Struthio camelus: one gene and its partner. The protein of the gene in region 1 interacts with the protein of each later gene in a pairwise test. Links are inferred from orthologs where the notes say so. Each region holds a gene or a part of one and is shown in the gene's direction. Other genes may lie near its edges.

Evidence for each region.
Region 2: the proteins of SGTA (region 1) and FXYD7 interact in binary tests that used the Homo sapiens proteins (3 or more experiments, as listed by UniProt). The two-hybrid records come from large-scale screens. The link is inferred for Struthio camelus from reciprocal best matches to the Homo sapiens genes SGTA and FXYD7.

What each region holds. Positions count from the first base shown.
Region 1 is NC_090967.1:6,823,905-6,831,269, reverse strand, and holds the start of SGTA (small glutamine-rich tetratricopeptide repeat-containing protein alpha), read left to right. Parts: upstream 1-4,316; 5' UTR 4,317-4,438; exon of another isoform or gene 4,439-4,553; intron 4,554-5,748; 5' UTR 5,749-5,797; coding exon 5,798-5,897; intron 5,898-7,365. Other genes in the region: THOP1 (thimet oligopeptidase), read right to left, coding at 159-266, 775-923, 2,370-2,573, 3,789-3,804. UniProt on the Homo sapiens protein: Co-chaperone that binds misfolded and hydrophobic patches-containing client proteins in the cytosol. Mediates their targeting to the endoplasmic reticulum but also regulates their sorting to the proteasome when targeting fails.
Region 2 is NC_090974.1:305,465-312,717, forward strand, and holds the start of FXYD7 (FXYD domain-containing ion transport regulator 7), read left to right. Parts: upstream 1-4,217; 5' UTR 4,218-4,617; exon of another isoform or gene 4,618-4,669; 5' UTR 4,670-4,785; coding exon 4,786-4,816; intron 4,817-7,253. Other genes in the region: FXYD1 (phospholemman), read left to right, coding at 167-216, 844-866. UniProt on the Homo sapiens protein: Associates with and regulates the activity of the sodium/potassium-transporting ATPase (NKA) which catalyzes the hydrolysis of ATP coupled with the exchange of Na(+) and K(+) ions across the plasma membrane.

The sequences.
Region 1 (7,365 bases):
AAGGGAAGAGAGGTGTCACCCAACTTGCCCAGGGTCACATGAATCAGGAAGAAAATTTAGGAGTCTGAGCCTCAGGCCTCTGCTCAAACCACTAGACTGTCCCGCTAGCCCTGCAAGGCCTCCTCTACAGGTGCTTATTTTAAGCTTTTTGGTCTCACCTCCTGCGTTTCCTCAGGGAGATGAAGACCATTTCTTTTACCCAATTTGATCAGCCTCTCTAGATATCTCTTTGCTTCAGGTTTCAGTGAAGCACTCTCTGATTTCTCCTGTAAAACAAAATCCGTGAGCACAGGGAATCAAAGGAACAGGTATTCACTCAGCTGCTGTATCTGCTCCTGGAGGAAGGCTGTGGGTTATTGTAATAATGGTAACCCAGAAGCAGGTGGAAACACCCCACGAGAAGGCTTCGGTTTAATGTGTTAGTTCCTATCAGGAATCTGCTTTAAACATCTCACCTCTATGCCGTGTCAGAGCACTTTTCAGGGCATTACCCAGCCCTTCCCTGAAGGAGGCAGGTCAGGGTTACTAATACCATTTTACTAAAGAGGTGATCAAGGCCCTGAGGGAGGTCAGAACCTTCAAATCCCAATTGCCCAGTTCTCACTCTAACAATTGGACCATACTGCCTACAGAGTTCATTTAATACCATTCAATTCTAAGTTCTGGGACAAGAGAAAAGGGTTTCTTGTAATTCCAAGAGGTTTCTGTTCTGTGCTCAGATGCTGAGCCTTTTTCACACCCAGTCGGACACCGAGCATCCTCCCAAGCACATACCTGGAGCCAGACAATCCGCTGGTACACATCCTGCCTCATGCTCATCTCCACGTCGAACTCTGAGAGCTTCTTGTCAGCCTCGGTGCTTGCTGCACGGATGTCTTTACAAGGAGACACGTGCTGGGGGAAGTCCAGCATGTTCCTACGGACTGAAAAGACCGTGGGTTATGGCAAAGGCAACAGCTTTGTGTCCCACAACTGCTCAGGAGTGGGAGCACACGTGGAGAGTCTGTGTTAGTTGGGAGGCAGCCTGATAGCCCTGGAGCCTGATCTACAGCCTGCACAAAGGGAGAGCAAGGCAAACTGCTGCCAACAGACAGACCCAGAGGCGTCACCCCTAGGGCAGCATCCAGTCACCCACAGCACCCCTTCATTCCTTGCTTGCTGCTGAGCCTACTGACCAGATCTGTCCACTGCTTTCCCACTACAATCTCTCTCACAAAACTTGCAGGAATTTCAAGCTTGTGAGATCTCAACTCTTTTGTCAGCTATAGCCGATACCAACAGTTTGAAGAGTCTCACAAAGGGAACAGATGTCTATACTTGCAGACGCAGGCAGCGTCGTTGCCTGTCTCCTTCCCTCAGGAAACCAGGCTAAAAGTGACACAACTTCAGTGCAGATGCTTCTCAAAAGCTACCACGTACGCAGTCTGCTCTTTCCCGACTTATTTTCAAACTTATTTCCATTTTAGAAGTGAATATAGGGAGAATATTTCCTGCCACTGTCTTTGCAAAATCTCAAACCACAGTCCAGCAGGAAAATACTGCTCTCCAGGCAAGCGGATTCCCCACCCAGCAGAAGGTGAGCACACAGCTACTCTCTGCTGCCCACAGAAAGTGCTGACAGTTCTGCTGAAGTTAACATTATCCTGCTTAGCAAGTGCCTTATTTTTTTTTTTTTTTAAGAGAAAAGAAACCAGATAGAAGAAAAAGGAAGCTTGCACACTTGCTTCTATTCTAGACAGATGTAATCACCTCGCAATACAGAGTTAGAAGAGCCAATAGATGTCATGAGGCAGGCGGGGGGTGGGGGTTGCATGACTTTGGCACTCTAGTGCTGTAAATAATTAGCCTGAGATATATTGAAGCCTGCATTATTTGCCAGCATGATGCCATCACATCATGTTACTTTACACCTAATCTCTAAAACTAGTACACTGTTTAAATAGACGAGATAGAGATACCTTTATCCATGCAGAGAAGAAAAAGAGCTGAAGAGTTCTTATATCACCCAAACCGTGTCTGCCAATGCACAATTTACTCCTGCTAAAGGCACCTTGGCATAAAAAAGTATGAGACAACCTTGAAAACCTTGTTACTCTTTCCAGAGACCACCCCATTGCCAAAGCAATAGCACTGCCAAAGCTCTGTCCTCATGTTCTACTTACACTTCTGTTCCAAAACTACTCCTTTCTTTGTGTTTGTATCTAGCTCTACAAATATTAACTGGAAAAAAAAAAACATAGTGCTGAGGGAGCCAAAGGAAAAAAAAAAAAAAGGAGATGACAGTACAGAGCAGAGAAGCAGAGACAAAAAAAAAAAATTCATAACCTGTAGACTTCCAGAAAGCAAGTACTCCCTCTGTGTCTACCTACCTGTATATTCCACTTCCACATCAGCCAGCGCCTTGAGAGTATTTTCGTAGGACACTTCTCCCTGTTCCTGGGAGCCCACCCGGTCATACACAAGCTTGGTCCTCTCTGTGAGCTCCACAGCCATGTTTTCTATCTGTTCGGCGGTCAGGTCCCATCTTAGCTGATTTGCTAATAGCCTGGGGGACTGGCTGTCCACAACGTTACCTGGGTAAGTAGGAAGGAAACCCATGCATGAAGAGTTACATGTCCCTCCCTTACATGAGCTGGAAGGAAAATTCAGGTGCATATCTAAAGCTCGATAAGAAAAGCACTTAAAGGAGAGGCCCAGCAAATGAACTATGCGTACGGGCAAACGGGCTCCTGAGGGACCCGAGTGCTGGATCCAAACGGCAGCCGGATTATTTTCCAGGCGCTGTTTACCCTCTCAGTTATGACAAGCCCTTCACAGAAACCTGACTCCCTCCCTGCTCCCTCACCCGTTGCGCCTCTGGCAGGTGCATCTGGCCACAGAAGCAAGGGTGGCTGTCACAGCCCGGGCACAAGCCTCGGGCTCTGCTTGGGAAGGGGGCTACGCAGGAGAGAGGTGACAGCTGGGGCCGGGGGAAGACCACAGCCCCCTCGCAAAGCTGTTGTGGGGCTCCTTCCCTCTTGCTCCCTATGCAATCACTGTCCCCCTTGTCCCCTGCCCCACATGCAAGCCCTCAGCAATCCTCTGCTATTCCAACCCCTTGTTCTTGTCCCAGGCCTCTCATCCCGGCCCTCCCCGCTGTCCCAGCCCCTCTCCCGGACCCCCCCCACCCCCTCCCCGCTGTCCCAGCCCCTCTCCCGGACCCCCCCCACCCCCTCCCCGCTGTCCCAGCCCCTCTCCCGGACCCCCCCCACCCCCTCCCCGCTGTCCCAGCCCCTCTCCCGGACCCCCCCCACCCCCTTCCCGCTGTCCCAGCCCCTCTCCCGGACCCCCCCGTCCCCTCCCCGCTGTCCCAGCCCCTCTCCCGGACCCCCCCCGTCCCCTCCCCGCTGTCCCAGCCCCTCTCCCGGACCCCCCCGTCCCCTCCTCGCTGTCCCAGCCCCTCTCCCGGACCCCCCCGTCCCCTCCCCGCTGTCCCAGCCCCTCTCCCGGACCCTCCCGTCCCCTCCCCGCTGTCCCAGCCCCTCTCCCGGACCCCCCCATCCCCTCCCCGCTGTCCCAGCTCCTCTCCCGGCCCTCTCAGCCCCTCCCCGCTGTCCCAGCTCCTCTCCCGGCCCCCTCAGCCCCTCCCCGCTGTCCTAGCCCCTCTCACGGCCCCCTCAGCCCCTCCCCGCTGTCCTAGCCCCTCTCACCCCTCCCTTGCTGCCTCTCGCCCCACCTCCCACCCAGCTCCCCTCTCGGCCCCCTTCACGGGCCCCCTCCCCGCGCCCAGACTCCCCCGGAACCGGTACCTGTCGGGGGAGCCATGCCGGGGCCGCCGGGAGGCCCCGCTCCTGCTGACGAGGCGCGATGAGACCGCGCCGGCCCCACGCACGAAGCATATGCCCAACCATAGAGACGGGGGAGAGAGCGGCCGCGCCGAGGGATTGTGGGAGTGGAGGACTCGGCCGCTCTCCCCTTGCCTTCACCCTATCGAGGCGACGGAGGCGGACGAGCCACCCCTCCGAGCCGGGGCTGGGTCCCGGCCGCGGCGCTCAGGCCCCGCGGTGCGGCGGCAGACGGCAGGCGGCGGCCGGGAGCGGAGCCCCGCGGCGAGCGGGCGCAGCCCGGGGTGGGCCCGGGCCCTGCCGGCGAGGCGCGCCCCCGCCGTCTCCATGGCGACGCGCCCCCTCCCTCTCTATGGTAACGAGCAGGGAGGAGCGACTGCTGCACTTCCGGCCTCTCTGCCCTCTCCCAGCGGCCTCAGGAGCGGGGCTGACTGCGCATGCGTCACCCCCGCCACAGCCGCGCAGGGCTGCGGCGGGTTGGGGGCGGGCGGTGCCTCGCGGCGGCGCACGCGCGCCGGGCGGCAGGAAGCGCGTGCGCAGTGGGCGGGCGGCAGCGCGCACGCGCAGTGGGCGGGGCGGCGCGCGTGCGTAGTGCTGCGCCCGCCCCGGCTGAGGCGAGTGTCGGGGCGCCCGGTGAGAGGGGCGGGGGCGCCGGTACCGGGGCCGGGTTGGGCCCTACGGGAGGCTACGCCGCGCTCCCTGTCCAGCGCTGGTTCGGCCCCCGTCTCGGTAGGGGGCAGCGGCCGGGGGCGCGGTGAGGCCTGGCGTTTCCCGCGCCCGGGGCAGCCGGTGGGGCCGGGCCAGGCCAGGCCAGGCCAGGCCGGTGCGCGGGGGGCTCCCCGGCCGCCGCAGGCCCCGGGCGGCGGGCGGACTCTGCCGCTGCTCCCGTCTCTCCCTAAAGCGCCATTTATTGACCGGGCCCTGGGGCTGCCCGCTAGCGAGCGGCCCGGCGGCGGTGGGCCGGGCCCCGGTGGGTCTCGGTGCCCTTTGGGGAGAGCCGCGGCCCGCACCGGGCTGAGGGGCCCTCGGGGTCTGGGGGAGGAGAGGCGCCTTCCTCTCCCCTGCCTGCTGCTGGCAGCCCCCCCGGTGCCTGTTCGGGTTTGTGGCCCCTGGCCTCGCTTGGCGGCGGGGCTGGGAGCTTGGTGCTGCCGTTCCCCAGAGGGACCTGCTACTACCGCTGGGGCTTTTCATTGGTTTGGGGCCGGGGCAGTTCTCCTGGGTTTGCTTTTCACATTTAAACAATTCAGTTCGTCAGCTAAATGACCCTAATGGCTTTTCTGTGCTATAAACCTAGCTAAGTGTTCTGGAAAGGCAGAGCAGCTTAGCTCAGCAGCAATGCCAGGCAAACGCACCTACCTGTTCTTTTCAGAACATGCACGTGGATCTCTGCAAAACCCCTACCTCAGGGTATGCTTGTGGGGCTTGCCTTGCTACGTGTCCTCGTTTTCTGTTGTGGCCTACTTCACTGAGTTGTAGGGGAACTTGATCTTCTGAGCAGGGTAGGCAGCAAACTGGGCAGAGGATTGATAGCCCTGAACCCTGGCTCTGCTAACATTGGCAAGTTGCTTCAGCTGTTGTCTTTGCTTCAGAACCAGATCATGCTTTGGAAGAGGAAGGCTGGGGTTTTATTAGTGATGAGCTCCTCAGTGCTCACTTTGTCTAGACTTGTGACAAAGTCTAGCCTATGTTCTTGTAACACCTGTAATGTTCTTTCCTGGGCAGTAGCCTCGTGGGCAGGGTAGTGCTGTACTGCTCCCTTTGAAGAGGGTGAACTGAGGCCCGGAGGCAGTTAATGCGAAGGAGTCTTTGTTAAAGAGTTTAATGAAGGCTCCAGAGGCCTTAGCCAGTTCCCAAGCATTCGCTTACCTTTTCCCTTCATCCTGGGAAAGAGAAACTTTGACTTCCTGACCATGTTTCTCTGCAGACTTTTTAAGTTACAAGAAGTCAGAGCAGACTGATCACAGCCTCCTAGAATGGCAGACCAGAAGCGCCTTGCCTACTCCATCATCCAGTTTTTACATGACCAGCTACAGAATGGGGGTCTTTCTCCAGATGCTCAGGAGAGTTTGGAAGGTAGGTGGCTATATACACTCCTCTGCATGTGCTTCTAGGTCTGTCAGTCCAACACTTGTGGAAATGTGGACTCTTGGTTACTATCATCTACTTGTTCCTTAGCTGGACTGTTACTAACATCAAAGATTGTTCAAGATTTGAAATTAATCTTATCCCATTGGAAGACATCCAGGGAGTCAGGAGGCTCATTGTTTATCTGATTTCTTGTTATCTCTTTCAAGAATAGATTAGCTTGAGGAAGGGATATACCTCAGGATCAAAAGCCTCCCTGATCCTGGGACTGAGACTTACCAAGTTTTATCTTGAATGAGGTGAGGTCAGGAGGCTCACAGCACATGAAAATGTTTTACACTTGCAGAGTGCTTTTCCTGTTCTGCTATCAAAATGTTTTTCCAGCACACTCTGGAGTATTTATACAGGCCTTTTCAGAGAGCTTTACTAGAAATGAAAGCACGTTGATCTTAAAAGATCTACTTAAGGAGCTTATACTTTATACAGTCTTTGGCCTGTACATTTGTCCCACTGACAGAGCACAGGCACGTCTGTGGAAAGGGGTAGGTACATTCCTGGGCGAGGCAGGAATGGAGAGCGGGAGCAAGGAGGGTGTTGGGTGGGAAGGAGGAGTTTATTTCTGGTGCTTGTGGACTGTAAAACGTGGCACGAGATTTGTAAAACTGGGCTCTGTTACGTTGCTGGGGTTCCCATGCTGGGAGCGCCTTTCTAACCAGGTGCTGGCAGAGGGGGTGGTGGCTGCGGCCAGAGCCTTGTTTGAGTGTCCTTGCACCTCTGCCTGGCCGCAGCCCTTTTAACAGAGCAGCCACCTTGTGGCAAGTGACTACAGGACCTGCTGACAAGTCACTTGCTTCCAGTGTTTTGTTAAAGATGCAGATCTCTCCTTGCTCTGTGCTATCTGCAGCTGCAGGAATGCTATGAAAGCCCCATTCTTGCTTGCTGCCAGTTCTGTTAACTTCTACCCACCAACACCTGCCCTGAGTCACCTACGGGGACGGGAGTTGTGACCGACCTGTTCTAGGAGGTTGCCCTCCAGAGCCAATGTTTGCACCGCTCTATTGAGTTTTTGGCAACTCATGACATGTATTGTGGCATGCTGCTTCAGCTGGATAACAATCATTCAAGCACCTCTCCGCAGTGGGAACCAGAGGGGCTGTGAAGTCACTGAACCTCTCCGGTCAGTATGTGAAGACCACAGTGGGAGACTTCAGTTGCTTTCTGGTGCTGAACTTAATGTAAGGAAAAGACGTGTTACAGCTCAGATGCAGTAGATCTGCACTCAGTTTTTAGCCCTGCTGCAACTTCCCTCTCTGCTCTTGGGACAGATGCTTGGAGAGCTTTACTAAAACAAGCTGACGTCCCTATAAAAACATACCCTCGTTTACCTGTGCTCGCGTACAGCCAGAGGCAACCTGCAGTCCCAGACACTCGCAGAGGGCTGCAGAGGAAGATCTGA
Region 2 (7,253 bases), on another chromosome or scaffold:
AGGGCAATTGGGGGGGCACTGGGGCAACTGGGAGGCACTGGGAGGGCACTGGGGGCACTGGGAGGGCAATTGGGGGGGCACTGGGGCAACTGGGAGGCACTGGGAGGTAACTTGGGGGGCAACTGGGAGTAACTGGGAGTAACTGGGGTGGCGCCGGCTGTTGCAGGACGGGGGAACCCGACGAGGAGGAGGGAGCCCTGCGCCAGTCCATCCGCCGTGAGCGCCCTGGGTCCCTTTGGGTGGGGGTCACCCGGACGCCTGGGCCCCTTGGGGGAAGCACCCGGACACCTGGGCCCCTTGTGGGTGGGGGCCACCCGGACACCTGGGTCCCTTGTGGGGGCACCCGGACGCCTGGGCCCCTTGTGGGTGGGGGCCACCTGGACAACTGGGTCCCTTGTGGGGGGGGCACCCGGACACCTGGGCCCCTTGCGGGAAGCACCCGGACACCTGGGCCCCTTTGGGTGGGAGCCACCCGGATGCCTGGGCCCCTTGCGGGAAGCACCCGGACGCCTGGGCCCCTTTGGGTGGGGGTCACCCGGACGCCTGGGCCCCTTTGGGGGCACCCGGACGCCTGGGCCCCTTGGAAGGGGGAGACACCCGGACGCCTGGGCCCCTTTGGGGTGGGGGGACCCGGACGCCTGGGCCCCTTTGGGGTCACACTCAGACGCCTGGGCCCCTTTGGCATCACACCCGGACGCCTGGGCCCTTTGTGGGTGGTGGCACCCGGACGCCTGGGCCCCTTTGGGGTGGGGGGACCCGGATGCCTGGGCCCCTTGTTGGGGGGGGGGCGGCGTTAACCCGGACGCCTGGGCCCCCCCCGTTCACCCTTTCCCACCTGGGCAGGTTTGTCCACCCGGATGAGATAGAGCGGCGGCAGGGGGTGAGTCGGCACCCGGACGCCTGGGCCCCCGGGACGCCTGGGCTCCCCGGGCGCGGCGGGAGCCCGGTCAGGGGGCGCCCGGACGCCTGGGTCCCTTCCCCATTGTGACCCCCCCTCCCACCCCCTTTCTTGCAGGTGACCCCCCCCCACGGCAGGGACAGCCGCAACACCCGCCCGCGCCTGTGCACGCCGTGACAGTCGCACAGGCACCACCGCCTGTCCCTGCTGCCCCCTCCCCCCCGGCCCCAGCCAATAAACGCTGCCACCGCCGCCCGTGGCTGTTGCTGGTGTGGGGTGTGCGGTGTCAGGTGGAGGGGGTTGAGGTGTTGGGAGCCAGGTTTGGGGGTTCGTGTGTTGTGTCAGGTGTTTTTTTTTGCCTGGGGTGTCTCTCCTTTTTTTGGAGGAGGGTGTTGCCTGGTGGTGGTTGTTGCGTTGACGGGTGTTCTGGCGGGTGGGATGGCACGGTGCTGGGTGTTGTTTTGCCAGTTGGAGGGGGGGGTGGTTGGGTGTCTCTTTTGTTGTGTGTTGCCCGTTGGGGTGTTGCGGCTCAAGGGTTGGGGAGTCGTTCTGTTGTGTCGGGGTGTTGTGGGCGCTGTGTGGGCGGTGGTTGCGCTACCAGGTGTTGGGCGTTGGGTGTTGTGTTGGGGTGGCCGGCATCGGGTGCCGTTTCGTCAGTCGTGGGGTGTTGTGGGTTGGGCGTTGCGGTGTTGGGGGGTGTCCAGCAGCTGATTGTCACATTGCTGGGGGTGTTGTGGTGGCGAGGTGTCATGGCATTGTTTTGTGTGTTGGGTGTAACCTACTGGGTGTTGTTGTATCAGGGTAGTCACGGTGTAGCGTCGCTTCCCTGGTTGTGCTGTGGGTCGGGTGTTGCTGGGGGGGCGGTGGTTTGTCTGTCAAAGTGCCGGGTGGCATTTTGCTGGTTGTGGGGTGTTGTGCACCAGGTGTTGTGGTGTTACGGGTGTCGTGGCGTCAGTAGCGGCGTTGCTGGGTGTTGTGGCATTGGGTTGTTACGCTGCCGGGTGTCGCTTTGTTGGTTGTCTGGGGTTGGGGGTCAGGCGTTGCCCTGTCGGGGGTGTCACATCGGTGGCTGTTGCATCACCAAGTGTTATGCGTTGTTGTGCTGGGGTGTTGGGGTGCTGGGTGTTGTTTTGCTGGTCGGGTTGTGGGTCATGTGTTGCGGTGTTGGGGGGGGTGTCATGTGGCGGGTTGTGGCATTGCCAGGTGTTGGGTGTAGCTGTATTAGTGTGTTGTGGGGCCAGGTTCGGTTGTGGGGGGTTGCGGCATTGGCAGTATCGTGGGGGCTGGTTGTCGCATCGCCAGGTGTTGTGCGGTGGGGTGTCACGGCACCGGGTGTCGCTTGTCGGTGGTGTTGCGGTTCGGGTGTTGCTGTGCTGGGGGTTTCTCAGCCCCAAGTATCGATTTGTTGGCTATGGGGTGTTGGGGGTTGGGTGTCACGGTGTTGGGGGTGTGTGATGCTGGGTGTTGTTGGACTTGGGTCAGCTGTTGCCGGGTTGGAGGTACCAAGGGGCCAGTTGTGCAACTGCTGGGTGTTGCAGTGTTCAGGTGTTGTGGTGCTGGCTGTCACGTCGACTGCGGGGTGTTGCAGGTTGGCTGTCGCTGCATAGGGGTTGTTGCAGGGGTGGGTTGCGGTGATGCCAGCTGTAGCATTGCTGGGTGCCCTTTCGTTGTGCGCCGGGTGTTGTGCACCGCCTGCCGTTGTACTGGGGGTATCTTGGTCCCAGGTGCCGCTTTGTCACTTGAACGGTGTTGTGGGTCGGGTGTTGCGGTGTCCAGGACACCGTTTTGTTGGATGCAGGGTGTTGGCGGGGGTGTCACGTTGCTGGGTGTTGTGGTGTTGGGTTGTTGCAGTGTTGCAGGCGGTGTTTCGCTGGTTGTGGGGTGCCGTGGGCCAGGTGTCACCGTCATGGGGTGTCACAGCGTCATCTTGTTGCAAGACAGGATGCTGTGGGTCAGCCGGGTGTTGCCGGTCTAGTTGTGGCGTGGCCGGGTGTTGCAGTGTTGGGGTGATGTGCTGCCGGGTGTGGTTCTGTTGCATGTGGGGTGTTGTGGGTCGGGTGTTGCAGTGCCGGGTGTCGTTTTGGTGCCTGTGGGGCATTGTGGGCCAGGTGTTGGGTTGTCGGAGGTGTTTGTTTTGCTGTGTGTGTATGTTGGGGGGGGGTGTTGTGGTTCAGGTGTCGCCGTGCTGGCTGTCACGCTGCCGGGTGTCACACTGTTGCGGCGTTGGGGTGTCAGGGGGGTGTCATTTTACCGCGTGGGGGGGTTTGGGGCTGTTGCCCTGCCGGGTGTTGTAGTGCCAGCTGCTGCTTTGCGACGGTGCCAGGTGTTGCAGTGTCGGGTGTCGCATTGCCGGGTGTCGCGGTGCCAGCTGGCGTGCGGTTGTGCTGCCCCAGGTTCGTGGCGCCAGGTGTAGCGGCGCCAGCTGTCCTGCTGCCAGGGGTTGCGGTGCCGGCTGTTGCTCTGCTGGGGCGCCAGGTGTTGCGGCGCCGGGTGTCGCAGGTCAGGTGTTGCGGCGCCGGGGTGGGGTGGTGTCGGGTGTCGCAGTGCCGGGTGTTGCGGCGCCGGGGTGGGGCGGTGCCGGCTGTTGCGCCGTCACGCTGTTGCGCTGCCAAAGGCGGTGTCAGCGCCGGGATACCGGGTTGAGGTGGGGGGGGGTCCCTCGATTGGGGGGGGGGCTTCCCCGGACGCCTGGGCCCCTCCGACCCCCCCCCAGACACGTGAGTCCCTCTGACCCCCCCCCCCCGGGCGCCTGGGCCCCTCTGACCCCCCCCCTTCCCCGGACGCCTGGGCCCCTCTGACCCCCCCCGGACGCCTGGGCCCCTCCGACCCCCCCCCAGACACGTGAGTCCCTCTGACCCCCCCCCGGGTGCCTGGGCCCCTCCGACCCCCCCCAGACACGTGAGTCCCTCTGACCCCCCCCCGGATGCCTGGGCCCCTCTGACCCCCCCCCGGGCGCCTGGGCCCCTCCGACCCCCCCCCCTTCCCCGGACGCCTGGGCCCCTCCGATCCCCCCCCGGACTCCTGGGTCCCTCTGACCCCCCCCCCCGGATGCCTGGGCCCCTCTGACCCCCCCCGGACACCTGGGCCCCTCCGAGCCCCCCACCCCCAGATGCCTGGGCCCCTCCGACCCCCCCCCGGACACCTGGGCCCCTCCGAGCCCCCCCGGACACCTGGGCCCCTCCGACCCCCCCCACCCCCGGATGCCTGGGCCCCTCCAACCCCCCCCCCTTTCCCCCCCCCCACCCCGGACTCCTGGGCCCAGTGGGCGGGCCTCGCCTGGCTCCGCCCCCCCCTCGGCCGTTCCCGCCCCCCCCCCCCCTCGGTTAGTGCCGCAGCCGCAGAGCCGGTACCGGCTTGATCCGACCCGGTTGTGAGAGGAGCCGGAGAGGAACCGAACCGGCCCCGAACCGGCTCCGAACCGACTCGAACCGGCTCGGAACCGGCCCGAACCGGCCTGAAGAGGAGCCGAACCGGCCCCGAACCGACCAGAACCGGCCCGAACCGGCCTGAAGAGGAGCCGAACCGGCCCCGAACCGACCAGAACCGGCTCGAACCGGAACCGAACCGACCCCGAACCGGCTCCGAGCGGACCCGAAGGCAGCCAGGGCGGGAGGTGGGGGGGGCAGAGACCCGAACGGACCCGAACCGGCTCCGGAAAGACCCGAAGGGACCCGAAAAGACCCGAAGGGACCCGAAAAGACCCGAAGGGACCCGAACCGGCTCCGGAAAGACCCGAACCGGCCCGAAGGGACCCGAACCGGCTCCGGAAAGACCCGAAGGGACCCGAACCGGCCCGAAGGGACCCGAACCGGCTCCGGAAAGACCCGAACCGGCTCCGGAAAGACCCGAACCGACCCGAAGGGACCCGAACCGGCCCCGACCCGGCCATGGCCACCCCGACGGAGGCTGCCCAGCGCGGTGAGGGAGCGGTGCCTGCCCCCCCCTCCGCCCCCCCCCCCAAAATTGGAGGACTTCCCCCCCCTCGCCCCCCAACCAGGCAGCTCGGGGACCCTTCCCCAAATGGAGGGACCCCCTTCAGCTCCGCTAAGGAGGTTCCGGACCCCCCAAAATGGCGCCCTAGAGGAAGAGAGGTGGGGGGGGGGGTCACCGGCACCCCAAAATGGCGGCCTGGAGAGGAGGGGGGGTTTCCCCTGTGCCCCCCCCCAATTTTAGCACCCCCGGATGGGCAGCCGGCACCCCCCTCCCCTCCTCCGCGCGAGGCACTCAGCACCCAGGGGACACCCATCCTTCCTGCTCCCCCCCCACCCCCAAACTCAGCCCTGGCCATCATTCCGCTCCAGAGTTAACAGTGCTGCAGAGCCTAGGATGGTGGGGAGGAGCAACCAGGGGAGCCCCCCCCTCCTCTTCCTCAACCCAAAACCAGGCTTTAGGGGAGCCCCCACCCTTCTCCCCCCGCAAAACTCAGCCCTGGCCGTCATTCCGCTCCAGAGTGAACAGTGCTGCAGAGCCTGGCACGAGGTGGGGGAGTGGGGGGGGAGCACCCATGGACCCCCCACTTCCCACCCACACCCCGAAACCAGCCTTTAGGGGAGCCCCCACCCTTCTGCTCCCTCCCGAAGCTCAGCCCTGGCCATCATTCCGCTCCAGAGTGAATGGTGCTGCAGAGCCTGGGGTGGGGGTGGCAGCACCCAGGGGACCCCCCTTCCTCAACCGCACCTCAAACCCAGGCTTTAGGGGAGCCCCCACCCTTCTGCCTCCCCAAACTCAGCCCTGGCCGTCATTCTGCTCCAGAGTGAACGGTGCTGCAGAGCCTGGGGTGGGGGTGGCAGCACCCAGGGGACCCCCCTTCCTCAACCGCACCTCAAACCCAGGCTTTAGGGGAGCCCCCACCCTTCTGCCTCCCCAAACTCAGCCCTGGCTGTCATTCCGCTCCAGAGTGAACGGCGCCGCAGAGCCTGGGGTGGGGGCGGCAGCACTCAGGGGACCCCCCTTCCTCACCCGCACCTCCAATCCAGGCTTTAGGGGAGCCCCCACCCTTCTGCCTCCCCAAACTCAGCCCTGGCCATCATTCCACTCCAGAGTGAACGGTGCTGCAGAGCCTGGCACGAGGTGGGGGAGTGGGGGGGGAGCACCCAGGGACCCCTCCCCTCACCTGCACCCCAAAACCAGGCTTTAGGGGAGCCCCCACCTTTGCTCAGCACCCCCCCCCCAAAATTCAGCCCTGGTTGTCATTCCACTCCAGAGTGAACGGTGCTGGAGAGCCTGGCGTGAGGTGGGGGAGTAAGTGGGGGGGAGCAGACAGGATCCCCCACCCACCCAAAAACTGGCCTTTAGGGGAGCCCCCACCCTTCCGTTCCCCCCTCCAAACTCAGCCCTGGCCATCATTCCGCTCCAGAGTGAACGGTGCTGCAGAGCCTGGCACGAGGTGGGGGAGTGGGGGGGGAGCACCCAGGGACCCCCCACTCCCCACCCACAACCCAAAACCAGGCTTGAGGGGAGCCCCCACCCTTCTGTTCCCTGCAAACTCAGCCCTGGCCGTCATTCCGCTCTAGAGTGAACGGTGCCGCAGAGCCTGGGGTGGGGGAGGCAGCACTCAGGGGACCCCCCTTCCTCACCCGCACCTCAAATCCAGGCTTTAGGGGAGCCCCCACCCTTCTGCCTCCCCAAACTCAGCCCTGGCCATCATTCCGCTCCAGAGTGAACGGTGCTGCAGAGCCTGGCACGAGGTGGGGGAGTGGGGTAGTGGGGGAGGCAGCCAGGGACCCCTCCCCTCACCTGCACCCCAAAACCAGGCTTTAGGGGAGCCCCCACCCTTCTGTTCCCTGCAAACAGCCCTGGTTGTCATTCCGCTCCAGAGTGAACGGTGCCGCAGAGCCTGGGGTGGGGGCGGCAGCACTCAGGGGACCCCCATTCCTCACCCGCACCTCAAATCCAGGCTTTAGGGGAGCCGCCACCCTTCTATCCCCCCAAACTTAGCCCTGGCCGTCATTCCGCTCCAGAGTGAACGGTGCTGCAGAGCCTGGCACGGGGGGGGGGGGTGGGGGGGGAGCACCCAGGGACCCCCCCCTCCTCACCCGCACCCCAAAACCAGGCTTTAGGGGAGCCCCCACCCTTCTACCCCCGCAAAACTCAGCCCTGGTTGTCATTCCACTCCAGAGTGAACGGTGCCGCAGAGCCTGGCACGAGGTGGGGGAGTGGGGAGGGGCACCCAGGGACCCCCCCCCTCACCTGCACCCCAAAACCAGGCTTTAGGGGAGCCCCCACCCTTCTCCCCCCGCAAAACTCAGCCCTGGCCATCATTCCGCTCCAGAGTGAACGGTGCTGCAGAGCCTGGGGTGGGGGCGGCAGCACTCAGGGAACCCCCCCCTCCTCACCCGCACCTCAAATCCAGGCT